Arabidopsis thaliana: one gene and its partner. The protein of the gene in region 1 purifies or fractionates together with the protein of each later gene. This does not show direct contact. Each region holds a gene or a part of one and is shown on either strand. Other genes may lie near its edges.

Region 1 (7,949 bases):
ACTATTGTTGCGCAAATAATAATTAGTTCCGATAATTTGATTTAAAAATTATAAAAGAAAAAGAAAATTAGCAGACCTATAAGGCATAAATATGGTATGGTCCTCACAATTATTAAATTCTGAAAATCATATAGCATATGATAGATTAATAAGCACTGAGAAAAAGACAGCCTCGATCGATCAAACTAACATTCTTGTTCATCTTTGTACTCAGATATAAGATGTACAGATATAAACCCATAATGCAGTGCCCCTAACTAAAGATGCAAACCAAAATAAAAGAAATATATATACGTATGCGTGTGGACAGTGGAAACGTACCGCCGTTGAGCCAGAGAAGCAGAGGAGAAGAATCTTTAGACTTAGAGGCTTCCACGAAATAGTAGAAAAAGGAACGCCCGGCGGATTCGTTGACGGTAACATAGCCGCCGTACTGATCGAAACTAACGGGAGGCTGTCCGGGCAATCTCCGTATCAGATCTCTCTTTCTTAGCCCCTCCTGATTAGCAGCACTCCGCAGCGAAGACGGTTTCAAATCCTTAACCGCCTTGAAATGGCTTGTGTCCATGGTGGACGAACCACCAACCCCTCGCTTAGACAGGTAAAGACGGCTCAGGGCGTGCACTTGGCTGCTGCATTCGATTCGAGACACCACCACACACAGTAACACCAACACCGATGCGATTACAGAGTAGGAGTAGCCCTGTCCTTTCCTCATTCTCTTATGTCTATGAATTATAGCGTGGGAGGGAAACAATAGAAGGTTTTGGTTTTGGTTTTGGTTTTGAAGAAGAGACAGTTAAATGAAGAAACGAGTGTGTGGGTTTGCATCTTTAAACAACTTCTTCTTTTTTGTGGGTCAAAACCTCCAACCATACGAATGATTGTTCCTTTTTTTTTTTTTTTTTTTTTTGACAACTATTGTTTTTGTTTTTCATTTTTAAAGTAGTACAATTATTTTGATAACAGATTCAGATTAAAGATTAATTTATTTATTTTATTTTTCGGGCCTCAATCAATATATATATATATATATATATGTTTCATGTAAGAAAAGGTTGTGTGTCTATGGGTGTGAAGTGAACTTACTAAATTAAATTAGTAATCTTCGAATGTATATGGCCTTCGATTATTATTAGTCGTTTGGGAGAGAAAAACGAAACACCTTGATAGCAACTTATAACTTATAAGTAGAATGATGCAATGATTATTGGTTTTTAATAATTATTTCTCTTTTTTTTCCCAAAACAAAAGTTAAAGAAGCATAAAATGCATTACCCTGATAAAAATGTACAAGTGGAATTCTAAGAATCTGAAGAAAAAAAAGAGCGAGGAGAGAAGATGTCAACGTCTCTGAGTGATCATGTTATGCCATGTGGTGTGTGAGTCGATGCTGCAATCCTGATTTTCACACTTGATATCATTCCATCTTTTGTTTCTTCGTAATACATTTAACTGCAAACAAATATTAGCTTATTTTCTACCATTGTTTAATACGAATTCTATAAATCTGGAACAGAAAAAATGTAAGACAATGATATGAGCCGAACATGGGACTTTCGTGTACTAGTAGCCCCACTGGCCAGATCCGATGTTTCAGCACATTCCTTCCCAGTTTATTATTCATAACAATCTCATTGACCACTTAAATAAATAATTTCAAATTTGATGATAAAAATTTCACGTGTTTTTGAAAACACATTATTGGGCCCAATTGTTGCGATTCAAAGTTGGGTAATGAGATTTATCCAGCATATTGTTCCAAGGCCCAAATAAGATGGGTCATAGGCCTCAGAGATTAGTTGACGTGTCATGTTTAGAATGGCTCTCAGAACCTTAGGGGAGTGTCCGAGATTACCCTTACTCTTTTGAGTTGAAAGTACAGTTTCGCCCCTGTCGAAATAAGAAAATAAAAAACATTCTAATCAAATCTATAATGGTGAAGTAACTCCTCTCCTCCTTTGTTCTCCAGATCCCAATTTACAAGAATTCAACTTCACACACCCTAAAAATTAAATCCCAATCTCCGATTCCAATATGGCTTGCATCAAGGGGGTGGGCCGATCCGCCTCCGTTGCCCTGGCTCCCGATGCTCCTTACATGGCCGCCGGAACCATGGCCGGAGCCGTCGATCTCTCCTTTAGCTCTTCCGCCAATCTCGAGATCTTTAAGCTCGACTTTCAGTCTGACGATCGCGACTTGCCTCTCGTCGGGGAAATCCCCAGCTCCGAGCGGTTCAATAGACTCGCCTGGGGAAGAAACGGATCTGGATCCGAGGAATTCGCCCTTGGTCTTATTGCCGGCGGCCTTGTCGACGGAAATATAGATCTATGGAATCCTCTTTCTTTGATCGGGTGCGTTTCCTTTCCTCGCCTTGCTTTGCTGCTATTGAATCGCCATTTTCACTCTGTTTTTTTTTATAATCCGCATTAATAGAGTTATGTATGTGGTATCCAATTTTCATCTGAACGAGTCTAACTCGAACAACTGTCACAATTTTCAGTTCCCAGCCCAGCGAAAATGCACTCGTTGGCCATCTTTCAGTTCACAAAGGCCCTGTGAGTTGTGTCTCTCTGCATTATTTTGTTGCTTAACGCTGTTTTGTTTTTATCACTCCTCATTTTCATGTGTGCGTGCTTCTTTTTTTCTTAGGTTCGTGGTCTTGAGTTTAATGCTATCAGCTCAAATCTACTTGCTTCTGGGGCTGATGATGGTGAAATTTGCATTTGGGACTTATTAAAGCCTTCAGAGCCTTCTCATTTTCCACTGCTCAAGGTATACCACCACTTCTTACTAGTCAACAACCTTGGTTTTTGTATTACCTTTTACTCTCATTATTGCTTTGGTATAAACCCATGAGTAACTTTATGCGAGGGTCTTTTGCAGGGTAGTGGTTCTGCTACGCAAGGTGAAATCTCCTTTATATCGTGGAATAGAAAAGTTCAACAGATATTAGCTTCTACCTCATACAATGGGACTACTGGTGAGACTTAGGGGTTTCTCTCTCTTTCTCTATCTACTTGACTACTACTTCACTTCTGTCTACTATATTTCTGCTTCTGCTCATCAGTCTTTATTTTCATTTTCTTTTCCCCCAGTAATTTGGGACTTGAGGAAGCAGAAGCCTATAATTAAGTAAGTATTCAATTTATTAAGTGATATTATTGAGGCTCTCGAAAAACTTGTTGTCAAATCCTTGATCTCGCCATTATCATTCAACAGCTTTGCAGATTCAGTTCGACGCCGGTGCTCTGTTTTACAGTGGAACCCTAACGTTACTACTCAGATAATGGTTGCATCAGATGACGACAGTTCACCTACTTTGAAGGTAAGGAATCATTTAACGCGTTGCTTCATATAGTTCAATTTTGGTTCTTTTAGTGATGTAAGGTATCTGCAATCAGCTCTGGGACATGAGGAATATAATGTCACCTGTGCGCGAGTTTACTGGACACCAAAGAGGTATTTTCAAATCATTGATATCAAAATGCTTTTCTCAGTGCTTCTCTCTAGCTTGGTATCATTTTCTATGGTTGGTAAGTGGACAGCCTTGTAGATCAGACGTCTTAGTCTTTAACCCACTCATATTTTGGTGCCTTTATATTATAGTCCTGTTGTCTTCATTCTTGGTGTTACACCTTGGTGAAGTGTAGTGGTGATACTTCTTATCTGTCAGGGGTAATTGCAATGGAGTGGTGCCCAAGTGACAGCTCATATCTTCTCACCTGTGCTAAGGACAACCGAACGATTTGCTGGGATACAAATACAGCAGAGGTAGTGTGAAGGAATCAATAAAAGATACAGATTTGCTGGGTCCGTGAATTAGTTAACTATTTTCCATTTTGACTGAGTTTGATCCAACCATAACAGATTGTGGCTGAGTTACCTGCTGGCAACAATTGGAATTTTGATGTTCATTGGTACCCAAAGATACCTGGAGTTATATCAGCATCTTCATTTGATGGGAAAATTGGCATCTACAATATCGAGGTACCTTAGTAGTTTGCCCTTCAGTAATTGTAAATTATTTTGTTCTATATGAATGAATGTAAATAATGTATGAGGCATAACAAATAATGAACTTTTGAATCCAGCCCTATCGACTGTTCTCCTTCATCATTTTAGGTTTCAGGTCCCCAGTTAACATACCACTGGAAATCAAATGTTTTAGAGTTTAATCTTATACACTTTGTAGTTGAGATTTACCTTATTAGCAAGACCTGTTGAACTGTAGATCTCCCTTCTCCCCTCCTAGAATGGATTAAAAAAACGTATTCAACGCTTTGGTGCAGGGTTGCAGTCGCTATGGTGTTGAAGAGAATAATTTTGGTACTGGTAATTCCATTTACCCAATCTGAACCGTTTGTTTACCGTTGATTACTTCTATCATTTTTATGCTGGAAGATGAAAAGCTTCAGGACCAACATTACTTCTTATATTCCTCTCTATGCAGCTCCTTTAAAAGCACCAAAATGGTATAAGCGCCCGGTTGGTGCATCTTTTGGATTTGGGGGAAAGCTTGTATCGTGTCACGCAAGGGCCCCTGCAAAGGGTACTTCGAGCATTCTATCCGAGGTAGGTATCTATGTACATATATTTATTTATCCGGTTATACCCCTTTTGTCGTCAATTCTAATTTGACTTAGTGTCATGTTTAGGTTTTTTTGCACAGCCTGGTAACAGAACAGAGTTTGGTGAGTCGAACTTCTGAATTTGAAGCTGCAATAGAAAATGGAGATATGACTTCTCTAAGGGGTTTGTGCGAGAAGAAATCTGAAGAGACTGAGTATGCCATCCTTGTGATTGAAAATGTTGATATTCGCCCTTATAAAAACTCATGAGATAACTCAGTTTGGACCATTTTATTCCACTGATTTCGCAGATCCGAAGAGGAGAAAGAGACATGGGGCTTGCTGAAAATCATGTTCGAAGAGGAAGGAACTTCAAGGACAAAGTTGATCAGCCATCTTGGCTTTACTTTGCCTGTTGCGGAAAAGGATCAGGCAGTAGATGGGCTCTCATCAGATCTCAATGGCATTAGATTAGAGGATACTGCGGCAGATGCACTGGATCTTGACGACAGTAACGAGGCAGCTGCATTTGCGATGGATAATGGAGAAGACTTCTTTAACAACTTTCCTGCTAAACCGGATACACCTGTATCTACATCTGCCAAAGATTTTATGCCTTCTGACACAGATTTTTCTACCAAAGGAGAAGAAACGCAAGAAATGCAAGAAGAAGAGGAAGAAAGTTCTGACCCAGTTTTTGATAATGCCATCCAGCGAGCGTTGATTGTTGGAGATTACAAGGAGGCGGTGGATCAGTGTATAACTGCAAATAAGATGGCCGATGCTTTAGTTATTGCTCATGTTGGTGGTACAGCGTTGTGGGAGAGTACTCGTGAGAAATATTTGAAGACGAGCAGTGCGCCATACATGAAGGTATATGTATATTCTTTCCCAACTTGATATGTAGGTAAGTGCCATCTACACCCCTGTTTGTGGTTGCAAAATCTGTAAACTACTGTATGTTTATCTATTTCAGGTTGTTTCTGCGATGGTGAACAATGATCTCAGGAGCCTTATCTATACAAGGTCACATAAGTTCTGGAAAGAGACTCTTGCTCTCCTCTGTACTGTAAGTTTCTCCGACTGAGGGAAAAATACTTAGAAAAGAAAGGAAATTTACTAATTGATATTGTCTATCAATGCACTCCAATAATCATAAAGGAAATGGAATCTGCTTTTTCGTGTCTTACTCAGCGAAAACATTTTCTGCTATCACTTTTAACTCTTTTCAACAATATAATGTGATGTTATCTCCGTGCACTCGTGAACCAAGATGAACAACTTGTCAGCTACGCTATTCTGCTCACTAGAAAACTTCTTTGTAATGAATGCTGATCTTATATTCATTGGCAAACAGTTTGCACAAGGAGAACAATGGACAACCCTGTGTGATGCCCTTGCCTCGAAGTTGATGGCTGCTGGTAACACTTTGGCTGCAGTTCTCTGCTACATTTGCGCAGGCAATGTTGACAGAACAGTAGAAATTTGGTCGAGGAGCCTTGCAAATGAGCGGGATGGAAGATCTTATGCTGAGCTTCTTCAAGTGTGTATCACTTTCTATGTTTCGCGCATAAATTTTGCTGGGCTTCTCCGCTCATATTTTTCTGCCCTTATCTTATAATAGGATCTTATGGAGAAGACTCTTGTCCTTGCTTTGGCAACTGGCAACAAAAAGTTCAGCGCATCTCTGTGTAAACTCTTTGAGAGTTATGCTGAGATACTGGCCAGCCAAGGGCTTCTTACAACGGCAATGAAGTACTTGAAAGTTCTGGATTCTGGTGGCTTGTCACCTGAACTTTCAATATTACGTGATCGTATTTCTCTATCTGCAGAACCTGGTGCGTATGCAGTTGTGTTTTTGATTAATATTTAAGAGAGTTTTGATGATAAATTTAGCTTAACATTTTATACGCAGAGACTAACACTACAGCTTCAGGAAACACTCAGCCTCAAAGCACCATGCCATATAATCAGGTATTTGAGTTCTGCAAATCGTTTTATATTTTACTTAGAATCCATGTAGCTTTCACGGATAACATACTTAGTCTTTACTCTTCTATGGCTTAGGAGCCAACTCAGGCGCAACCAAACGTTCTTGCTAACCCATATGATAATCAGTATCAGCAACCGTACACTGATTCTTATTATGTCCCTCAAGTTTCACATCCACCCATGCAGCAACCAACCATGTTTATGCCACACCAAGCTCAGCCAGCTCCGCAGGTTTCTAAAGTTTTGGTTTTGTTGCATTTTCTTTTCTTATTCTTCCTTGCACCATCATGCATTAATGACCATCCTTATCTAGCAGTTCTCAGATGTCTAGATCAGGAAAGTGTCCGTTTCTTTATGTTTTTGTCTAAGGGATTGGTCAAGCTTTTGAGATATGATGACATCTGAAATATGTATGTGGTGCTCAAATGCATAGTCTCTTCGTTTGTGTGATTTTTTTAGTCAGAATAGTAGATGGATTATAATAGGTATGTGGTTCTTTGACCTAAAACAAAACTCCCCAAAACTGAACATTTTCAGCCTCTAAACCCATGTCCTAGAGAAACGGATAATCTAGACCTTTACTTTTATTCACTGCTGTAGAATCTATATCCTAGAGAGGTCGTGAGAAAATTTTGTCGTGGGAAAGTGTTTTGTTTGCTATGTACAGGTTTCTTGGGCCAACTTGTTGACTATAGTGTGTTTATGCAGCCATCTTTTACTCCAGCTCCTACAAGCAATGCTCAGCCATCCATGAGAACTACATTTGTTCCTTCAACTCCCCCTGCACTGAAGAATGCAGATCAATATCAGCAGCCAACCATGAGTTCTCATTCATTCACGGTATGAGAAATTTTGCCTCCAGTGTGTTTGATGTTACCCGCAGTTTTAGTTTAATGAAGCTAACTTCTAAATTTTCATCAGGGACCATCTAACAATGCATACCCTGTTCCCCCGGGTCCTGGTCAATATGCACCTTCTGGCCCTTCACAACTTGGGCAATATCCTAACCCTAAGATGCCCCAAGTTGTTGCTCCAGCAGCTGGACCCATAGGATTTACGCCCATGGCAACTCCAGGAGTTGCTCCAAGATCTGTGCAACCAGCAAGTCCTCCAACACAGCAGGCAGCTGCACAGGCAGCCCCTGCGCCTGCAACTCCGCCACCAACTGTTCAGACTGCAGATACTTCCAACGTTCCAGGTATCGTACGACGTTTCATTAGCACCTTATCTCTGTTTTGTTTCTGAGTAAAGTCATATAATGATCACCTCTTGTAAACTGATCCAGCCCACCAGAAACCTGTGATAGCAACGTTGACAAGGCTTTTCAATGAGACATCGGAAGCACTGGGAGGCGCACGTGCGAATACTACTAAGAAGCGTGAGATA
Region 2 (4,047 bases), about 23 Mb from region 1:
GTTAGAAAGTTATACTTTTGTTTAATTTCTTTGTTTACCATATAATTTTGACTCTTATATTAGTAACAGTTATGTTTCTTCAGTTATTATATATATGAACAATGATATAAAGAATTCAGTTTTTTTTTTGTCAAACAAAGATCTTCATTCATTAAAATCTCAAAAGAGACAAGTTCATACACAATGAAAATAAGAAATTACAGGAAAATAAGGATAGAAGCTTCATGAGTTTTCTAATGATTGAAAAATCTGTTGAGGCCTTGGCAGATTCGACCATGAAGGCGGGCTTCGCGAAATCCTCGACCATCTTGTGGTCAAAAGAAGCTCTTGCAAACAATGCATCCGAGCTTTTGAAGAAGTGCTCCGTTGAGGAGGCTGACGGGTTAACGAGGTTGAGAAAAAGACGGTAACCACTTCTTGAAGACATGGTCATAATGCCGTACTTTTTCAACATGTCAAGAGATTGCAAATTATCCAAGCAATAGATTAACATGACATGAATGAGCGCGATAAATGGTGAGTGGATAAGTTGAGAGTTTTCAAGGCTTCGGTAACACCTACTCGGTAGAGACAGGGTCATAATGCCGATCCTCTTAACTCTAAAGGCCATTTGCCTATGGGTGGGTAAAGGAGTCTCGGATAGGGTCCAAAGAAAACTTAACATCTTATCTCGACAATGGTAACTACCATTCCCACCTAAACAAACCACTATTCTGATAGCAAGGCGTCCATTACCAGCCCAAACAGAGGTAGAGGGTGCTAAAAGGAGGGAACTCGATAGTAAATTAACGATACTTGGTGTGGGCAGCAACACTCTAGGACACTTCCAAAGAGAAAATAGCTCCAAACGATTCAAGACTAGACTCAAACACTGAAGAAAACGGACCAAACGAGATAGACTATCAACTAGGTTTTGTGAGAGAGAGCTACTAATCCAAGCTAAATCCATCATCACCATCACAGGAAAGCGTCCATTACTCTCCCTAAATGATAACAACATCAAAAAATTTGGGCTTTGTAAAACAGATTTGAAAACAGACCTGGGCCTTAGAGGATATGGGCTTAACCCAGCAGAAGGCTTCATGGGCTTTAATAGTTTAGGTAATGGGTTAGGGGGAGGACAGAAGGGGCTTGGGTTGGGCCCAATGCGAAAACCCTGAGGCAGCATTAGGTTTAGCCGCCAAGCGCATCTTCTCTTTGTCACCAACGACGACGGCGACGGCAAAACGGACTTAGGGTTTACAGCTGCCGAATTGAGGGCGTCAGAGACAAGATCTAACCAAACGAAGTTTGTTTGCGATGAGGCTCGGTCTGCAGAAGTTGGATCTTCCAAGGTAAAGCTCTTCAACAGCTCCGGCGTCAAAGCAAAGCTCCGATCCAGAGGGGAATAGGGAGATGCCGGTATTGACTTCAAGGGGAGCCGAGGAGAGGGATAAACCACGGAGGTCGCAAAGAAGATAAGGGGAGAACTAGCACAAGAAGTGAACGTGTTCAGAGGTATGGTGGTCAAGGTAATCTTTGGATACAAAGGGAGAAAAGACAAGCGAAACATGGGAACACGGGAGAATAGAGAACACCAGATGACATAGCCATTGAGAAGAGAGCGACAAGGGAACGATAGCTCCCGGCACCGGCGAGCAAACGGCTCTACCGGTGCCGGAATTTGTTTGGAAGCTTTGGCCTCGATGAGAGAGAATGAATGAAAAGAATTCAGTTTAAAAATGTCAAATTGGTGTTCTCAATTTTCAACATACCCAATAATACAACTAAACAATATTGAAGGCCCAATACCATATACACGATGGCCCATCTACTGCCTGATAGTATGTAGGGGGTATTAATGTCATTCCAACAAGTAGGGGTAGAATCGGTAATAAGGACACAAACTCGCCTCTTTCGCTTTGTCTCTCTCGTCTCTAAGCAGTAGCAGATCTGAGTTTTGGAGAGTTCAAAGGAAGAAGATAACTCCAATACCAGAGGTTCGTAACGATGTGAGATTTTTCTCTGTTGTTTATGAAGTCTTAGCTCAATTTGATCTTCCAATGAATTTCGTTAAAATTTGCTAGACTTCTATCAGCGCCTGTAGATCGATTTAGGTTATGTACTCTCATTCACATCGGTGGGAAGCGATCAATCTTAGAATCCACGTTTTATAATTTCTCGTTTTGATCTTGTTTTTTTCACAACTTGTAAACATTGCGATGTTGATTGTGTTGATTAATCGCTTAAAATTGAGGTCTGAGTTTAAATAATCCTTGTGCTTACCATATGGTCTTGGCTGTGATAATTTGTTAATTGTTCTGCTTAATAATCTAACACTTTGCTTCGGTTAATGTCTGGATCAACATGCTCATGGTTGTGTTCCCTGTTGATTTGTATTGTAACAGTGAAAGCATTCAGGAAACATGCCTCCTCAGAAGATTGAAACTGGTCATAGCGACACTATTCATGATGTGGTCATGGATTACTATGGAAAGCGAGTAGCAACTGCCTCGTCTGACTGCACGATCAAGATAACCGGAGTAAGCAACAGCGGTGGATCTCAGCATCTAGCTACCTTAACCGGTCATCGAGGTCCTGTCTGGCAAGTCGCTTGGGCGCACCCAAAGTTTGGTTCACTTCTCGCTTCATGTTCCTATGATGGGCAAATTATATTATGGAAAGAAGGTAACCAAAACCAATGGACACAAGCTCATGTCTTCACAGACCACAAAGTATCTGTCAACTCTATCGCTTGGGCTCCTCATGAACTTGGACTCTCCTTAGCTTGCGGAGCATCTGATGGAAACATATCAGTTTTCTCGGCTCGAGCTGATGGCGGTTGGGACACGACAAAGATAGACCAAGCACACCCTGTTGGTGTCACTTCAGTGTCGTGGGCACCGGCCACAGAACCAGGCGCACTCGTTAGCTCTGGTATGATCGATCCGGTCTACAAACTAGCATCCGGCGGGTGTGATAGCACGGTGAAAGTGTGGAAGTTCTCGAACGGGTCATGGAAAATGGATTGTTTCCCGGCTCTCAACAAGCACACGGATTGGGTCCGTGATGTGGCTTGGGCACCGAACTTGGGTCTCCCAAAGTCAACCATAGCCAGTGGTTCAGAAGATGGGAAAGTGATCATATGGACCATAGGGAAAGAAGGTGAGCAATGGGAAGGTACTGTTTTGAAAGATTTCAAAACACCAGTGTGGCGGGTCTCGTGGTCGTTGACCGGTAATTTGTTGGCTGTTTCCGATGGGAACAATAACGTTACAGTGTGGAAAGAGTCTGTTGATGGAGAGTGGGAACAAGTGACTGTTGTTGAGCCATAGATTGTTGTTTGTTTGTTTGGTTATCTTTTGTTTTGTGGTAATATCAAAATGTGGTGTGTTCTGTATACAATTTCTAGGGACCTGTTTCTCTCTATACGTTTCTCAGGAAAGTATATTCTTATGTATTTTAATCAGACAACAGAGATTGCAAAAGAAATGTATTTTTCATAAAACTTTTTAATTCCGATAATGAGTTTTTTTTACTGGTATGATGTTTTTCACATTTTTACCCTTTTATGAGATTCCGATTTTGGCGTAAATTCATTGTAGTTTATAACCAAAATTTAATTGATTTCAATATAAACTCATTTTTAACTAATTAATACTTTAAAAATTTAAGCCTGTTCAACCTTAGTTAATTGTGTTTTTAATCGATCAACTAATTTTCAACTCATTAACCAGCTCGTTTAGCCAGCCACTTGATAAATTTTAATGCTCAATTAGGCATAAAATTTTGATTTACGAAATTTTGCCGATGGCGCTCAAAAAATGCTAATCCGGCTCTGCATCGATTTATAATATTTACCCTTTCAATACTCCGTGTAGTTAAGAGGATCGAGGGTATTTGCGTCATTAACAGTGATAACAAGTGCTAAAGCGATGAATGAAGCGCCTATTTTCACAATTCGAAATCTCTCTCCCCCCGCTTTGGCCCCAAAAAGTTTTTTTTTTTTTTTTTTAATTGCTAAGACAAATATCCGAATCTCAGAAATTTCTCGTCCTCTTTCTCTGT

What was found. The genes of interacting proteins can lie anywhere in the genome.
Region 2: the proteins of AT3G63460 (region 1) and AT3G01340 fractionate together in Arabidopsis thaliana (co-fractionation; one large-scale study listed by BioGRID). This does not show direct contact.

Annotation. Positions count from the first base shown.
Region 1 is NC_003074.8:23,431,330-23,439,278, reverse strand, and holds the start of AT3G63460 (transducin family protein / WD-40 repeat family protein), read left to right. Parts: upstream 1-1,911; 5' UTR 1,912-2,037; coding exon 2,038-2,354; intron 2,355-2,503; coding exon 2,504-2,558; intron 2,559-2,652; coding exon 2,653-2,775; intron 2,776-2,886; coding exon 2,887-2,983; intron 2,984-3,098; coding exon 3,099-3,135; intron 3,136-3,222; coding exon 3,223-3,328; intron 3,329-3,404; coding exon 3,405-3,462; intron 3,463-3,676; coding exon 3,677-3,774; intron 3,775-3,870; coding exon 3,871-3,990; intron 3,991-4,292; coding exon 4,293-4,335; intron 4,336-4,453; coding exon 4,454-4,575; intron 4,576-4,658; coding exon 4,659-4,786; intron 4,787-4,882; coding exon 4,883-5,444; intron 5,445-5,547; coding exon 5,548-5,640; intron 5,641-5,928; coding exon 5,929-6,114; intron 6,115-6,195; coding exon 6,196-6,409; intron 6,410-6,486; coding exon 6,487-6,545; intron 6,546-6,638; coding exon 6,639-6,794; intron 6,795-7,271; coding exon 7,272-7,403; intron 7,404-7,484; and 3 more. Other genes in the region: scpl40 (serine carboxypeptidase-like 40), read right to left, coding at 322-718. UniProt on the Arabidopsis thaliana protein: Required for protein transport from the endoplasmic reticulum to the Golgi apparatus.
Region 2 is NC_003074.8:126,824-130,870, reverse strand, and holds AT3G01340 (Transducin/WD40 repeat-like superfamily protein), read left to right. Parts: upstream 1-1,876; 5' UTR 1,877-1,979; exon of another isoform or gene 1,980-1,991; intron 1,992-2,387; 5' UTR 2,388-2,405; coding exon 2,406-3,314; 3' UTR 3,315-3,516; downstream 3,517-4,047. Other genes in the region: AT3G01345 (uncharacterized protein), read right to left, coding at 152-1,552. UniProt on the Arabidopsis thaliana protein: Required for protein transport from the endoplasmic reticulum to the Golgi apparatus.